3 linked regions of the Callithrix jacchus genome follow. The protein of the gene in region 1 purifies or fractionates together with the protein of each later gene. This does not show direct contact. Links are inferred from orthologs where the notes say so. Each region holds a gene or a part of one and is shown on either strand. Other genes may lie near its edges.

Region 1 (5,758 bases):
ACAACTGTAAATGTTTTGCCATCTCGCTTACCCTCCCTGAATGTTTATGTGTGTGTATGATTTTATCTTTTGTTGAACCATTAAACAACAGTTTGCAGGCATTACGGTCTTCACTCCTAAATTCTTCAGAATGCATCTCCTCACAATAAGAACATCCTCTCAATGAGTACAGTATCATTATTACACTATAAAATCATCAATAATTCAGGCCAAGGGCCAGACATGGTGGCTCATGCCTGTAATCCCAGCAGTTTGGGAGGCCGAGGCAGGCAGATTACAAGGTAAAGAGTTCAAGACGGGCCTGGCCAACACAGTGAAACCCTATCTTTAGTAAAAATACAAAAATTAGGCAGGCATAGTGGCGTGTGCCTATAGTCCCAGCTACTTGGGAGGCTGAGGCAGGAGAATCGCTTGAAAGGAGGTAGAAATTGTGGTGAGGTGAGACCTCACCAGTACATCCCAGCCTGGGCAACAGAGCGAGACTCCATTTCAAAAAACTGTAATGATAATTCAGGCTGGGCACAGTGGCTCATGCCTGTAATCCCAGCACTTTGGGAGGCCAAGGTGGTAGATCATGAGGTCAGGAGGTCAGGACCAGCCTGACCAATGTGGTGAAACCCCATCTATGCTAAAAATACAAAAATTAGTCGGGTGTGGTGGCAGGTACCTGTAGTCCCAGCTACTCAGGAGGTTGAAGAGGCATGGGAATTGCTTGAACCCGAAAAGTGGAGGCTGCAGTGAGCCAAGATCATGCCACTGCACTCCAGTCTAGGGGACAGAGTAAAACCCGGTCAAAAATAAAAAAAACTCCATTTCAAAAAAAAAAAAAAAGAAAAAAAAATACCAATAATTCACTAAGATCACTTATATTCAACCCATATTTAAACATCTCTGATTGTCAACAAATAAACAATAAAACCAGTTTAAACGACATATCAGGATCCAAGCAAGATTGACACATTGTATCAGGTTATGTGTTTCTAGCTCTTCTATTTTGGAACGACCCCTCCCTGCAACTTATATTTTTCTTTTTCTTTTTTTTTTTTTTGTGAGACAGAGACTTGCTCTGTTGCCCAGGCTGGAGTGCAGTGGCACAATCTCAGCTCACTGCAACCTCCACCTCCCTGGTTCAAGCGATCCTCCCACCTCAGCCTCCCAAGTAGCTGGGACTATACATGGGTGCGCCACTACAACCCACTAATTTTTGTATTTTTAGTAGAGATGGGGTTTCACCATATTGGCCAGGCCTGGCTGGTTTCTAACTCCTGACCTCAAGTGATCTGCCCGCCTCGGCCTTCCAAAGTGCTGGGATTAAAGATGGGAGCCACTGTGCCCGGCCCACTTACATTTTTCATGGCATCGCATTTATGAAGAGACCAGGCCCCTATTTCATGCAAGGTGGGAATGGATCTTCCTGTTAATCCCCTCAGCTTAGGGTTGGGTCTAGCAAGAGTAGACTCTCTGTAGGTGTTTGTTGAACAAATGAAACCAGTGATAATGGTTATTAACGACAATCACGGTAGCCAATTTTTATTGACTGTTCTCTTGGCCAGTCTGCTCACATTAATCTTGTTTGAACCTCGCAGAAATCTTACTCGTGACAGATTTGTCTTATTCACAGGTGAGGAGACCAAGGCTTAGGAAAGGGAAGATGCCTGTCTGAATCACAGCTCGAAAAGGGGCCAGAACCCAAGGGTGGACCCACCGGCTGGAAAACGCTGCAGTCAGGCAGGGGCCCTTTTTTCTTGAAGAATGAATGAATCAACAAACCCAAGGCTAGTTTGCCTGTGCACACGCACGGACGTGTGCAATACGTAGCACTTGGCAGGCCTCGCGTCAAGCACTTTACCCGTGCTTTTACTCCCTACGTTTTGTTTTCCTGTTTTGCTTTTCTCCCTTAATGCCTAGCAAAAGGCGTGGCCCAGACGCCCGGGTAGGACTTAGGGTGTAAATGAAGAGGGAACAAATGAATGAATGGGCGGCAAAGGGATCTTCATAAACCAGACCCTCCTCCGGGATCTTCTGCGAACACTCCCGAGGCCCCGGCCCAGGGACGCCAAGGGTGACTCGTGGGCCCCGTGCCGACCTCAGGAGGCAGCTCCCGGGCTCCGGGCGCCCAGGTAACCCCCAGCAGGTGTGGGAGCCGGGGCCTGCCAGCGCCTCGGCGTTGCCACCTCCACGTGCCTGCCCTCTCTCCTTCCGGCTCCGCAGCCAGGCCCTGGCGGGCTCCTAGTGTGCAGCTGCGCGGCCGCTTCCGCCCGATGGGCTCGGTGCTCAGAGACCCAGCAGGTCCAAACGCGGCGGGGAAGGTCCGCGGCCCAGCCGGCGCACGCCCACCTGTCGCCCGCGCAGGCGCAGCACCGCGCCGGCCTCCCCGCGCCCCGCGGCGGGCGGCCAGTGCGCAGGCGCGGCGGCCGATGTGAGTGTGTATGTGCGGGCGAGAAGATGGCGGCGGCGGGGGAAGCAGCGTGAGCAGCCGGAGGAGCGCCGAGTCCCATTGAAACGGGCCGCCATGGCCCTCCACAGTCCGCAGGTAGCCGCCGGCCCGCGCCTTCGGCCGGAAGGGGACCCGAGCCCAGGGCGAGCCGACGCCGCGGCGGGCGGGCGGGCTCCCGCACTCTGCCCGGAGCGAGCGTGTGGGAGTGGGGGAGGGCGCCGGGACACGCTGCCCGGGCCTAGGCCGGAGCCACCCGCCGCTTCTGCGCACGCCGCGCCTTCGTCCTCCAGAGTTGCCTGGGCCCCCTAGTCCCGGGGAGGCAGAAGGGCGGGGGCTCCGGGCCCCGCCTGGGGAGGGCGTGGGGGGTGCCGAAGGGGTTAATCTCCCCGGGGCTGGACCGCGGGGCGAGCCCGGGGTGTGGAGTGGGGCCCTCCCCGCCGCGCCGGCCCGGGGAGGCGGCTCGGGGGCTCCGGGAGTCTCCTGGAGCGGCAAGAGCCCCAGGGCAGCTCAGGTTGCTGCCTCTGCCCGGAGCGAGCCTTAAAGATTTCAGGGTGCCCTGTTGCCCCCTTGCTCCAAAAGCCTTCCTTGTGAGCTCGATTGTTGACGCGGGGGTTGCTGATTTTCTGGTTTTTAGATAGAAGTCGCTGAGTGCGGCCTTAGGCTACTGGTGAAAACAAAACTCGAAATAAGTCGCAAGGACTGTACTTGTACTTGCATTTGAGTGACATCCCTTGCACGAATCCATCCCAGCCAGGCTGACACTAACGCACCCTGCCTGAACGGTATCTAAAGCTTAGGGGCCTTTTACAATAATCCTGTAGTGGAAAGAAAGAGCTCTTTTTGGGAGATGTGCGTGGAGAGTTAAGCTCCTCTCCTCTCCCACCCTTTCTCCCCCCTCCGCCATTATAATTATTCTGAGCGAAAATCGGCATGATACAATTTGTCAAGCTTGCTTTAGACTGCCAATTTGTTGACCTCTAGTCCCTATAAATTGTTGCATACTCTCAAACCATCTCAATGTGCATTTATATTAAATATGGGGAAATGAAACAAAGTAGCCACTGGGAAACCTGGTGGCAAGTAAAATTGTAACCCTACATAAGCACCTGGGTCTTGTTGCTCTTTTGCAGATAAAGTCAACCTGACTAGACGTCATTTGAAAAACGATTTTCGTAACTGTTGAAATGAATCCGTGTTGTGGAATCTACAACGCGAAAACTTTTAAAAATTAGGTCTTAATGAGAAGCTTCAATTTTGTTCAATTTGCCCTAGTTCAATTGGCATCGGAGCATCGTCCCGTTAATGCTTTGCTCCCTTGTACATTTACTTTTGTAAGTAGTATGGTTCTTTGCACCAAAAAAGGGATTCGCAGTTGAATAATTTTTACAAATGTATAACTCCAGAGATTTTCTTAAGAGATTTGGTGTATTTAGCTTTGTTTAGATTTATTTAAGAAAAGATCTGACGTTTGATTTTTTTCTCAACTTAAATACTAATTCGCCTACTGTTAAAATTGGTATGAATAAGTATAAAGGTCATTATGAATTAATGTGTAATATTCATTGTGATTTTTGACAAGAAGAAAGCGTCTTTAGGCATAACTCTATTTAATAAGCATCAGTCACAGTTGAAGGCTGATTGAAATGTTAGTGGAGATGGATAATATGTAAATTGTAATTTCGTTGCTTTAATTGTCCCAGTGTTTACGTGTTTTTTTTTTTTTTTTTTAATTATTATTATTATTTGAGATGGAGTCTCCCTCCTTGGCCAGGCCGAAGTGCAGTGGCACAATCTCGGCTCAATGCAGTCTTCATCTCCTGGGCTCAAGCCTTTCATCCTGCCTCAGCCTCCCGAGTCGCTGGGGTTACAGGTGTGCATCACCACAGCCAGCTAATTTTTTAGTAGAGGCGGGGATTCACGGTGTTGGCCAGGATGGTCTGATTTCCTGACCTCGTGAGACACCTCGCCCGCCCTGTATTTATGTTTCATGCGGCAGCATTAGCTATATGCATCTTCAGAGAATTGGAGTAGCAAAAGTTGGCTCAACATAAATGTTAGCAACACTTTGGGTTTATTCTTTTAAAGTGTGATTTAAATGCTTTTAAGTTCTAGCGTGAAGAAAGTAGCAAAGGAGATAGTTTAATTTCTCAAAATTTTCTTTTTCTTTTTTTTGAGATGGAGTTTCGCTCTTGTTGCTCAGGCTGCAGTGCGATGGCGCCATCTCTGCTCACTGCAACCTCCACCTCCCGGGTTCAAATGATTCTCCTGCCTCAGCCTCTCCGGGTACAGGCGCCAGCCACCATGCCCAGCTAATTTTTTTGTATTTTTATTATACTCGGGGTTTCACCATGTTGGCCAGGCTGGTCTGGAACTCTTGGCCTCAGGTGATCCACCACTTCAGCCTCGCAAAGTGCTGGGATTACAGGTGTGAGCCACCGCCAGGTCGATTTCTCATAATTTTCATTTTCAAAGAATAGTAATGGAAACAAATAATGGAATTATGTATGACAGGATTTAGTTACTGGTTCCTGCCTGAATCATTCTGAGCGTTTTCAAAAATTTGTTTTATTTGGTTGCCAACTACCCGAAAAGTCTTGCAGCCTTAATGGCCATTCATGCATTCAGCAAATACTGATTGTTCTCATGTGCTAAGTGCCATGATATGCATATTACACTTGTTTTTGTTGGGAATAACAGCTACAAATTCGAGGTCTTATTTTAAAATTGGTTCGTTAAAGTTAAATTTGTCAGTAAGAATAATGGGACCTGGAAAAAGTTAAAAATGTTTATAGGCCGGCACAGTGGCTCACGCCTGTAATCCCAGCACTTTGGGAGGTGGAGATGCTTGGATTACTTGAGGAGGTCAGGAGTTCAAGACCAGCGTGGCCAACATGGTGAAACCCCGATCTCTACTAAAAATACAAGAATTAGCCAGGCGTGGTGGCACACCTGTAATACCAGCTATTCGGGAAACCGAGTTAGGAGAATCACTTGAACCTGGGAGGTGGGGGTTGCAGTGAGCCGAGATCACACCACTGCACTCCAGCCTGGGTTACAAGAGGGAAACGCCATCTCAAATAAATAAAAATAAGTAAATAAAACAAAAATGTTTCTAGGTTAGTAACCCTATTTCCAGTTATTAGGAAGTGTTGATTGATCCCTTTTGCCTGTATTGAAGTGTAATAGTGAAACATTTGGAAACATTTTGAGGACAATAGCTTTCAACATTTTAGCAAAAACAAGAGAACTTAACAGTTGAAGTGTTAAGTCCAAGTGAATTTCTCTGTCACTGACGGGCCGATGCCGATGAAATGATTTGGG
Region 2 (5,198 bases), on another chromosome or scaffold:
CCTGCCTCGGCCTCCCTAAGTGTTGGGGTTTACAGGCATGGGCCACCATGCCTGGCCGAGTATGATGATTTTTAAATGTCTACACTTAGCATGCTGTGATTTAGGTGGGGAAAACATAGCATAGATACATATATTTTACATAGCTAAACAGAGTATCTCTGGAAAAATGAACAAAAAACAAAAAACCTAAAAAACTCATAGTTATTTAGGCCCCAGAGGAAAGAACCAGGGTAACAGAAAAAAGATTTTGAGTGTACCTTTACCTTTTATACACTTTATCACTATTATACCATGTTTCTGGTATCTATTCAAAAATTTTTTATATAGAAATTTAAAAATAACTACACTACTTAACAAACGATCATATCCTGAATATCTGAACTTAGATTTAACCACTCTGAAATAAGATAAAGTAAAAATTAATGCTGAGATGAATTATGTATTATGGAACATAAAGACCAACAGTACCTTGTGGAAGAAAGCTGACGGAAATGGTGATTAAAGGGGCTTCAAGCTCTCTGCTGTTATATCCTACTTTTCCCAATATAAAAAAAATCCATAGGCAGGTAATTTTAAAGCACAGTGGCATCTACTAAACTTGAAGATAACTTTTTTTTTTGGAGAAAGAGTCTCACTCTGTCACCCAGGCTCAAGTGCAGTGGCACAATCTTGGCTCAATGAACCTCTGCCTCTGAGGCTCCAGCAATTCTTGTGCTTCAGCCTCCCGAATAGCTGGGATTACAGGTGTGCACCACCATGCTCAGCTAATTTTTATATTTTTAGTAGAGACGGGGTTTTGCTATGTTGGCCAGGCTGGTCTTGGAACTCTGGCCTCAAGTGATCTGCCCACTCTGGACTCTCAAAGTGCTCAGATTACAGTCATAAGCCATCGCACCTGGACAAAGGTAACTCTCATTATGTTTTAAATGAAAATTCTTAGATTCGGTAATACTGAAGTATACTTGTCATTCAAGAAATGTCATACTGGTGTATCCCACCACATAAATAATAACAAAAGATATTTTCTCCCAAGTGATGTTGTAGAATTTCCCCCTTTCTAAAATCCTCAGAAAAACATAAATCCACAATTCCATGTACATTAAAGAGAGCATTGTTGCTTCCTTCAATTTCTGCTCAATTGCAATGACCATAGCCAAAACAGCTTCACGATACACGTTTCCAAGTTACATCCCTTGTAATTTGATCAAGGCCAATCACAGTCAGGAAACTAAGACAAGGACAGAGCTGGATAGTATGCTTCTATGTCGCTCATTTTTATGAAGACAGTATTCCTCTGTAATAAATGTTAAAATGAAATCTGCAAAACTTTAAGTAAGAAAACAAACCCCAAAAAGTGGAAGGCTGGTTTCTAACCTGTGGCCTCACCTGCCGAAGCAGTTCTTGCTGTTTCAGCCGCAGCCTCTCCTTCTCCATCTGCAGTTGCTGCAGTCGCATCTGTTGCTGTTGGTTGGAGCTGCTGCCACCCATGACACCTCCCTGTGGGCTCTGGGGAGCCAGAGGTGGTGGCTGTTTCACTGGAGCACTCTGACTGATTCTCTGGTTCATGGCTGAAAAGAAAAAAAAAATCTGTCCCAAAAAGCTAGCAAAGGAAGACAAAATGATGATTTAATTATTCAAAAGCAATTTGGGATATTCAATGTAGCTGTTTTGGGCAGGAAGACTGGAAATAACCTAAAAATCCATCAATACCACAATTAACTTAAAATTACTGTTCTCACAAGATACAAGGAAGTCATAAGAGAAAACAAGATAGTTTTAACATGCAAGGATAAAGAACGGTTTCTAAGGACTTATTAAATTAAAAGCAAAGTGCAGAAGACAAAGGTTAAAAAAAAGGGGGGGGACAAAGGTGATGAATATATATTGCATATTCAGAGGATATAAAAACTAATGAATAGCTAAGAAGCAACTAACATATTTTAGCTCCACAGATGGGAAACTAGGTGACTAAAGGACAAAGTTGGAGATCCTTATTTATAACTTCTGAAGTGTGAATGATGCAAATATATTACTTCTTATGAAATATATAAATTTAATTAAAAATTCATTCACAAAAGCAACTAAGACAAAGCATTCTGAACAGGAAAGCCCATCAAAATAATCAGGCCTTAATAATATATTCACACACACATCCCAATAAACCCAGTAGATTAAAATGATCTGATGCTTGTTTGTATCAAATTGAGTCCACAAGTATTTGGATGACACAGATTTGTCTCATTTGACACCACAGTACCCCCAGCATACAGCCTAGGTACTCAAAAGAAAAAAAATTGTTTTTTGAAGCTGTAATATATGATTTAGTGGTTAGAAATGGACTCAAGTTTTTATACTACTGTATTTCTGTCACTGATAAAACATTGATCAAACTGTGGATCAACCTCAGTGAGCAGAGTGAAGTTTTATGTGAAAATGTTAGTAAGAAGAATAAAACTTTTCAGACACATATTCAACTTAAGTTGAAATTTTGGGTCACTGTTTCTACTAAATGTTTAGTACACACTGACTAAAGAAAACCCCACATCCCAATGGCTTTGCAGTCATTCAAGGAAGAAAGAATACCAATCTTACACAACCTCTTCCAGAGCATAACAAGGAAGGAATATTTTCCAACACTTATAAGGCCAGCATAACCTTGATACCATACAAGGATATTAAAAGAAAGGAAAATTACAGGCCAATCTCTCAAATAAACCTTGCTACAAAAATCCTAAATAACATACACTGACAGCTCTTATAACTTAATGGTCTCCCAGTCACACAGCAAACTCCTCTTGACTTTTAATGTGTCCCGTTACAACAGACTGGCTGCTTGGTAAATACCATTTCTTCTTGGAGACCACTTGAGCAAAAACATCACGAGGCCGAGTCCATCCTATACATTAAACGTTTTCTTCTCTCAAGGAATTGCCTAGGAACTCTTCCATATTGTCTACTAACATTTCTTGCCTGATTCTAACTTTTTTTTTTTTTTTTAACAAAACTACTTTAAATACTCTGGGGTGAGCCCCACAGAAATAAAAAAACACTGGGAAGGGGTAACCCCCTCACCCCCAGGAGCGGCCCAGGGGAAGAGAGGCTACCTGAGGGGAAGGAGGCACAAAAGAGACCCGCTGCAGACTCAGGGCAAAGGGAATGCCATCGGCGCTAGGACCTGTGAGCACTACAGTAGTAAACGCGAGCGTGGTGGGACTGGTTCTAGGCACACAGGCGAAGTGCAAGAGGGCTGCACATGCAGCCACAAAGCTAGTTGGGTTTCTCCTTCTTGTTTGCCTTCTTCGCTTCTGCTGCACGATCTCCGACCCTGGCGGTAGAGATGATGGGGCACTCTGCTTGCCGGTGGCAACAAAAAGCCCGTCATCTCGGTGCCGTCCCTTAACCTAGTTGCTCTGCTTTTTCCTATTCTTCTGGTGGGCGAGCTCACGCTGGTTATTGCGGGTCATGGCAACAGAGACAGCTCTAATTTTTTGTTTACAAAAGTATATGCTCCCTCAGACTGACTGCCACAGGAGTAGGGGATGTATCCTAGTCATCTACATGTTCTCAATGCCTAACACAGCATCTGGCACTAAGTGTATGCTGAAAAAATAACAAACCATTTCTACATACGTTGAGTAGTTCCTCACTGAGGCAGAAAATTAACTATTTAAGATAAAAGACAATAGAGAAGTCCTACTATTAATTTCCCTTTAGATTACTTCTTTTTTTTTTTTTTTTTAAATCCCTGTCTTACTATGTTGCCCAGACTGGTCTCAAACTCCAAGCTTCACATGATCCTACTGTCTCAGTCTCTCAAGTAGCTGAAACTGCAGGCAAGCACCACACCTGGCTCAAGACTGCCCAATTCTTCTATCAGGCTAGCACAGCACTGAAACAGAACCAAGGATATTAGAGAGAGGAAAATTATACACCAATCTCTCTAACAATGCCTTAGTTCAATCCAATCTTCTCAGCTACCTGTGAATATAAGATGACTGCATTAACTTATTTCTATTTTTTCTGCTCTTACTTTTTCCCTCCAGCTTTTCTGTATTTCATCCTCTAACTTTTGAGTTGAACTTACTTCATTTAAATATTTCTTGGAAGACTTAAGTCAATAAATTTACCTTTAAGTCCTGCTTCACCTGCATGCCACACGTTTTGAAATAGTATAGTTCATGACTCTTTTATTCCAAAAATGTATAATTTCTATGATGACTTAAACTCATGTGCTATTTAGGAATATATTTTTATGTTTCCAAATATGTATTTTAAATTTTAAAGATAATTTCTGTAAACACAGAAAAGCAGAAAAATTAATACATATAATGAATCCTTGTGTACTCATCACTTTCTTCCCCATCATCAATACATGGCCAATCATTCTTTACCTCTATCCTCAACTACTTTTCAGCTCCAATTATTTTCAAGCAAACAATATAGCATTTACCCATAATTTCAGTATGTATTTCTAAAAAGGTGGGGCCTCCTTTAAAAAAAGAAAAATATAATTACAATACCATGATTACACTATCAAAATTTACCAATTCCTTAATATTATCAAAAGTCCATCGCATGTCTATATTTTCCTATCAAGAGAATTATTATTTTTACAATTGGCTTGTTCAAAACAGAATCCAAACAAGGTCCATACATTATATTTCATTCATAATCCAAGACTTCTTTAATAACATGGTTCTGTGGTTTCTGGATCATCAGGAGTACCTAGCAACTTCTTAGAAATGTAAATTCATGGGCCCTAACCCAGGGCAAAGGAATGAGAAACTACAGGATAAAGCCAGTAATCTTGTGTTTTGACAAGCCCTCCCAGTGACTTTTTGATTCATGCCAGCGCTCTGAGGACCACTGTTTTAATACATAGGTTCCTCCTTTGTTTTTTCTTTGGCATTTATTGGTCAAAGAAACTGTGTCATTTGCCCCATGAAATTTTCCACACCCCATAGTACTATGTAGCATGCTTTTCCATTTCTTGATTTGCTGTAAACAAGTTTGATATAGAGGCCTGATCACAATTTTTGGCAAGAATACTTTACTGGTGGCACTGCATGAAGAGAGAAGGCACAAGATAACTGTCTTAATAAAGATGAATCAGTGGCGCAGATGTGGCAAACCTATTGCATCCATTTTAAAAGTTACTTTCACCAGGGGTTTTTAGTAACCATTGATTTTTTTTTTTC
Region 3 (4,816 bases), on another chromosome or scaffold:
CAGACAGACACAGCCTGAAACAGACCAGCACAGACAGACAGACAGACAGATAGCCTGAAACGGGTGTGGACAGACAGACGCAGCCTGAAACAGACCCGGATGGACAGACAGATGCCCAGCAACTCCCCGCCCAGGGACCCCTTCGGGCCTCCCTCGCACACTGGGAGGAGGAAGCCGCCGAGACTGCAGGGACCCTGGCTCTGGAGCCCCAGGTACGCCCTGGTCTTCGGAGCAGCCACGACTCACCATCACCCCCCTTTTCTAAGACTGCCCAATCCCAAATAAAGTATTTTGACAGAACCATGTTTTGGGGTGGAGGCGGAGTCTGGGGGCTCCCCCACTCCCTAGAATGAGGGGTTGGGCCAGCCTGGGATAGGGGAGTGAGGTGTGGGCTCCACGCCGCCGCCAGATCCCCGCGCGGGAACAGCGGCGGGAGAGGTGCCAGGCGCGGCTTCAGCACCTTGGAGAGCGGCGGCGGGCCGAGCGCGGGGAGCCCGGGAGGTGCTTCCAGGGTGTGAGCGCCTGGCTTGCGGGGAAGGCAGCTGCCTTCCTGGGGATCTGGGCGGCCCACCCTGCTCGTTTTGTGGGTCAGGATACGGAGGCTTCAGAAGTGGAGGGACTCCCCAAGGTCACAGCTGGGGAGGGTGGAACCTGGCTGCGCCTGCGCTCTTCTGCCGCGTTGCCCCCACTGTGGGTTGTGCGCGCCAAAGGACAGAAGGCGGCTCACAGCCTGGGGCAAATGTGAAACAAGAAAAAGTCTTGCTCGTAAGTGTGTAACTACAGACTGGGTGCTCAGAAAATGCTAGCTGCTGTATGGGCTTCATCATCATAAAGCTGGCCTGATCCCTCCAGAGGTGGGGGTGGGGGATAGGGAAGCCCTTGTTCCCCACCCTGGGCTTGAGGGGCAGGGATTGCAACGGAGCACAGGCAGATGGTCCAGGGAGGAGGGAACCACGAACTCCTGACCCGGGAGGGCAAGGACCTGCCACAAATTTGGAATTTAAACACTTACTGGATGCAGTGGCTCACGCCCGTAAGTCCAACACTTTGGGAGGCCAAGGTGGCCTGACTGCTTGAGCCCAGGAGTTCAAGACCAGCCTGGGCCACATAGTGAGACCCTGTCTCTACAAAAATGCAAACAACTAGCTGGGTGTGATGGCGAGCACCTATAAACCCAGCTACTCAGGAGGCTGAGGCAGGAGAATCCCAGGAGGTGAAGGCTGCAGTGAGCTGAGATCACACCACTGCATTCCAACCTTGGTGACAGAGCAAGGCTCCAACTCAAAAAAAAGAACGATTCTGAGATGCAAGAAGGAAGTTCAGTTTTTATTGCATTGAAGACTTTTCCAGAAGCCTGGTGGACCAACGTCTCCCTCCCTCCAGCTCCAAAGGCAATGCCAGCCTCTGGTGTGTCCCCCACTTTGAAGTGGGTCTCCCCTCCTGCAAGGCCGGTGGAGGAGAGGTGGGTGGGGTGTGGGGGGCCCAGAGGGGAAGCCCTGGGGGCAGAGGGAGGTCAGTCCTGTTTAGACTGGAGACCAGGGAGGGCCCAGCCACACCTCCCAACAACACCCTGAGTCAGAGGCTGGGGTATAGCAGGGGCTTAGCTGTCAGCCCCGGGGTGTGGTTTCTTCCTGGAGCCCAGGGAGAGACCTTGGAGGGCAGGTGTGACCCCTGGAGCGCAGCTCTCAGAGCCCTGAGGTTCCCGGGGAAAGAAACAAGTAACAAAGTGAGACCACGAGAGAAAAAGAATCCACGGTTTCTACAAAAAGCCCCGCCCTCCCCGAGCACCCTGGTCAGCTGGGGACCGCCTCAGCCTTCACTCTTTTTGGGGGTCTGTGGGGTGCAGGGCTGGCGGGCCGCTCCCGTTTGGGGCTGTCGGGCTCTGAGCCGTTGTGCTGGGCACAGGGCTCCTGCTTGGGGCTGGCGGGGACAGAGCCGTTGATCCGGGTGGGGGATTCCTCCTTGGACTCCAGCTTGGGGGCAGGTGGGCGGGGCAGGGGCGGCAGCGCCCTCTCCAGCACACGGGGGCCGTCCCAGGCGGGGATCTCCAACCCGAGGTGCTTCATGAGCCGGGTCATGACTTCGTCGACGTAGCCATGGATGCGGAGGTCGGCATGACGGTCCTGCCGGGAGTTGGGATGGGTCAGGCGTCGGGGGCAGAGGGCACATGGGGGCCCTGGGCAGGGGTGGGCTCAGACACCTACGTGCTTGGTGGGCTGCAGGTTGACGATGACCAGGCGGCCTCCCCGGCGCTTGGTGGCCAGCGGCAGATTCCCACTGGGTCGGATCTGCAGCGACGTACCCAGGGTGATGGACAGGTCGGCGTTCCTGGGGCCGGGGAGCGTGGGCTGAGTCTGATCCCCTCTCCAGCCCCGCTCTGGCCAACATCCCGAGCTGGCCATGGGGTCCAGCTCACACCTAGGCCCTCTGTGCTCACCCGGGCAGTCAAGGCTGGCCCCACTGCAGAGCCAGCCTTCAGGATCCCACCCCCTCTCCTCTGCTGCCTGCCAGCAGGGTCATTGATCCTTCTGGGGAGAATGGCAGTGTGGCGACAGCTTGGAACCCTAGGGTGGGTCCCTGGCTCAGTCTCCTCCTGGCTGGGCAGCACTGGCTAGAGGAGTCGTGTGGCTGAAGCCTCCGTTTCTTTGTGCAGCATCCACCCAGAACCATAGTGAGGAGAGAGTGTGTATGTGTGTGTGTGTGTGTGTGTGTGTGTGTGCAGTCCCTGGTGTGGCCCACCTCCTCCAGGAAGCACCCCCTGACTGCCTCTGAGCTGGAGCTCCTGCCCCCGTTACTGGAGCTGGCTGTGTTTCTGCCATCTCCCCAGCCCGCTCCCCTGTGGGCTCCCTGGGGGCGGTCAGACCTGCTGGCCTCATCGGCAAGCGCCAGGTCCCGGTCCGGTAGGGAGTCCTCCCAGTCTAGGATGGTGTCCCTCAGCTCCCCCCTGCAATGAGGAAGCCGGGAAGAGTCCAAAGGGGCCTCGTAGCCTCCCCTGTAGCCCAGGGCACGGGCAGGGTCGCTCACCTGCAGGCCCGCAGCCCCCTCGCCTTAGCCACGGTGCAGAGCCGACCTGTGGCCTTCAGGCCCATGCTGCCCACAACCGTGTCCCGGACGTACTGCCTGTGTCAGGGAGGAAGGGGAAGGCCGGGGCCGAGTCAGCCCCCGGGGGTGTCTCTCAAGCTGCTTCTAGGGGGACATTCTCCCAGGGAGGCGCGGGGGTGGACAGGTGGCCAGAACTCAGCACCGAGTGATGCAGAAGGAGGAGCCTCCCATGAGCATCAGGCCGGGACGCTGCTCAGTTCCCAGGGCACAGAAAACAAAGGTAGGAGAAGGTCCTGGGGCTGGGGACGGGACCCCGCATGGCATCCCGGACCAGGAGGAACAGAACAGCTAGAGCTTGGGGGCAACCGGCTGGGTCTGGAATCAAACCAGGGATTGGAGAAGGCCATGTCCCCTTTACTTTTCCTGACTTTAACCGTTATACTGGACCAGCCTCGGGGGCTCACGCCTGTAATCCCAGCACTTTGGGAGGACGAGGCGGGAGAATCATTTGAGGCCAGGAGTTTGAGACCAGCCTGGGCAACACAGTGAGACCCTATGTGTATAAAAATAAAAAAAGAGGAGAAACTCGGAGATAAGAAGGCCCCTGTAGCTGTAAGCCCAGGACCACCAAGGGGGTCTGGCTGCTGCCAGCAGCGAGGAAGAGGCAGGAAAAATCCTCCCGGCAGGTTGCAGAGGGGCACGGCCCTGCAGACACTTGGATTTTGGACTTCTGGCCCCCAGAACTGTGAGATCACAAATTTCTATTGTTCTAAGCTGCTCATCTACTGGTTGCTATGGCAGTGCCAGAACACGGAAGTAACTCCCTGGGAGGGAGGCATGTCCCTCTAGTCCCTCCAGGAGGAAGGCATGACCCTCAGACCCCCCAGGAGGACGGGGTGACCCTCAGACCCCCCAGGAGGACGGGGTGACCCTCAGACCCTCCAGGAGGACGGGGTGACCCTCAGACCCTCCAGGAGGACGGGGTGACCCTCAGACCCTCCAGGAGGACGGGGTGACCCTCAGACCCCCCAGGAGGACGGGGTGACCCTCAGACCCCCCAGGAGGACGGGGTGACCCTCAGACCCCCCAGGAGGACGGGGTGACCCTCAGACCCTCCAGGAGGACGGGGTGACCCTCAGACCCTCCAGGAGGATGGGGTGACCCTCAGACCCCCCAGGAGGACGGGGTGACCCTCAGACCCCCCAGGAGGACGGGGTGACCCTCAGACCCCCCAGGAGGACGGGGTGACCCTCAGACCCCCCAGGAGGACGGGGTGACCCTCAGACCCCCCAGGAGGACGGGGTGACCCTCAGACCCCCCAGGAGGACGGGGTGACCCTCAGACCCCCCAGGAGGACGGGGTGACCCTCAGACCCCCCAGGAGGACGGGGTGACCCTCAGACCCCCAGGAGGACGGGGTGATCCTCAGACCCCCAGGAGGACGGGGTGACCCTCAGACCCCCAGGAGGACGGGGTGACCCTCAGACGCTCCAGGAGGGAGGGATAACCCTCAGACCCCCCAGGAGGACGGGGTGACCCTCAGACCCTCCAGGAGGGAGGGATAACTCTCAGACCCCCCAGGAGGACGGGGTGACCCTCAGACCCCCAGGAGGACAGAGTGATCCTCAGATCCCCCCCAGGAGGACGAGATGATCCTCACACCCCGCAGGAGGGTCACAACCAGTATCCCATACCCTCTGGGTCTCTGGGACATCAGATTCGACCCCAACCCCCTCTGGCCCGCCCTGGGGAGGGATGGCGGCTGCATGGCCCAC

The links. Proteins that work in one complex are often made in the same cells at the same time.
Region 2: the proteins of USP10 (region 1) and YAP1 purify together in Homo sapiens (affinity purification with western blotting; 4 studies listed by BioGRID). This does not show direct contact. The link is inferred for Callithrix jacchus from reciprocal best matches to the Homo sapiens genes USP10 and YAP1.
Region 3: the proteins of USP10 (region 1) and SIRT6 purify together in Homo sapiens (affinity purification with western blotting; 4 studies listed by BioGRID, with this or other methods). This does not show direct contact. The link is inferred for Callithrix jacchus from reciprocal best matches to the Homo sapiens genes USP10 and SIRT6.

Annotation. Positions count from the first base shown.
Region 1 is NC_133521.1:42,365,943-42,371,700, forward strand, and holds the start of USP10 (ubiquitin carboxyl-terminal hydrolase 10), read left to right. Parts: upstream 1-2,421; 5' UTR 2,422-2,512; coding exon 2,513-2,533; intron 2,534-5,758. UniProt on the Homo sapiens protein: Hydrolase that can remove conjugated ubiquitin from target proteins such as p53/TP53, RPS2/us5, RPS3/us3, RPS10/eS10, BECN1, SNX3 and CFTR.
Region 2 is NC_133511.1:37,448,063-37,453,260, forward strand, and holds part of YAP1 (transcriptional coactivator YAP1), read right to left. Parts: intron 1,569-5,198; coding exon 1,375-1,568; intron 1-1,374. UniProt on the Homo sapiens protein: Transcriptional regulator with dual roles as a coactivator and corepressor. Critical downstream regulatory target in the Hippo signaling pathway, crucial for organ size control and tumor suppression by restricting proliferation and promoting apoptosis.
Region 3 is NC_133523.1:3,917,468-3,922,283, forward strand, and holds the end of SIRT6 (NAD-dependent protein deacylase sirtuin-6), read right to left. Parts: intron 3,121-4,816; coding exon 3,025-3,120; intron 2,945-3,024; coding exon 2,864-2,944; intron 2,329-2,863; coding exon 2,205-2,328; intron 2,124-2,204; coding exon 1,794-2,123; 3' UTR 1,301-1,793; downstream 1-1,300. UniProt on the Homo sapiens protein: NAD-dependent protein deacetylase, deacylase and mono-ADP-ribosyltransferase that plays an essential role in DNA damage repair, telomere maintenance, metabolic homeostasis, inflammation, tumorigenesis and aging.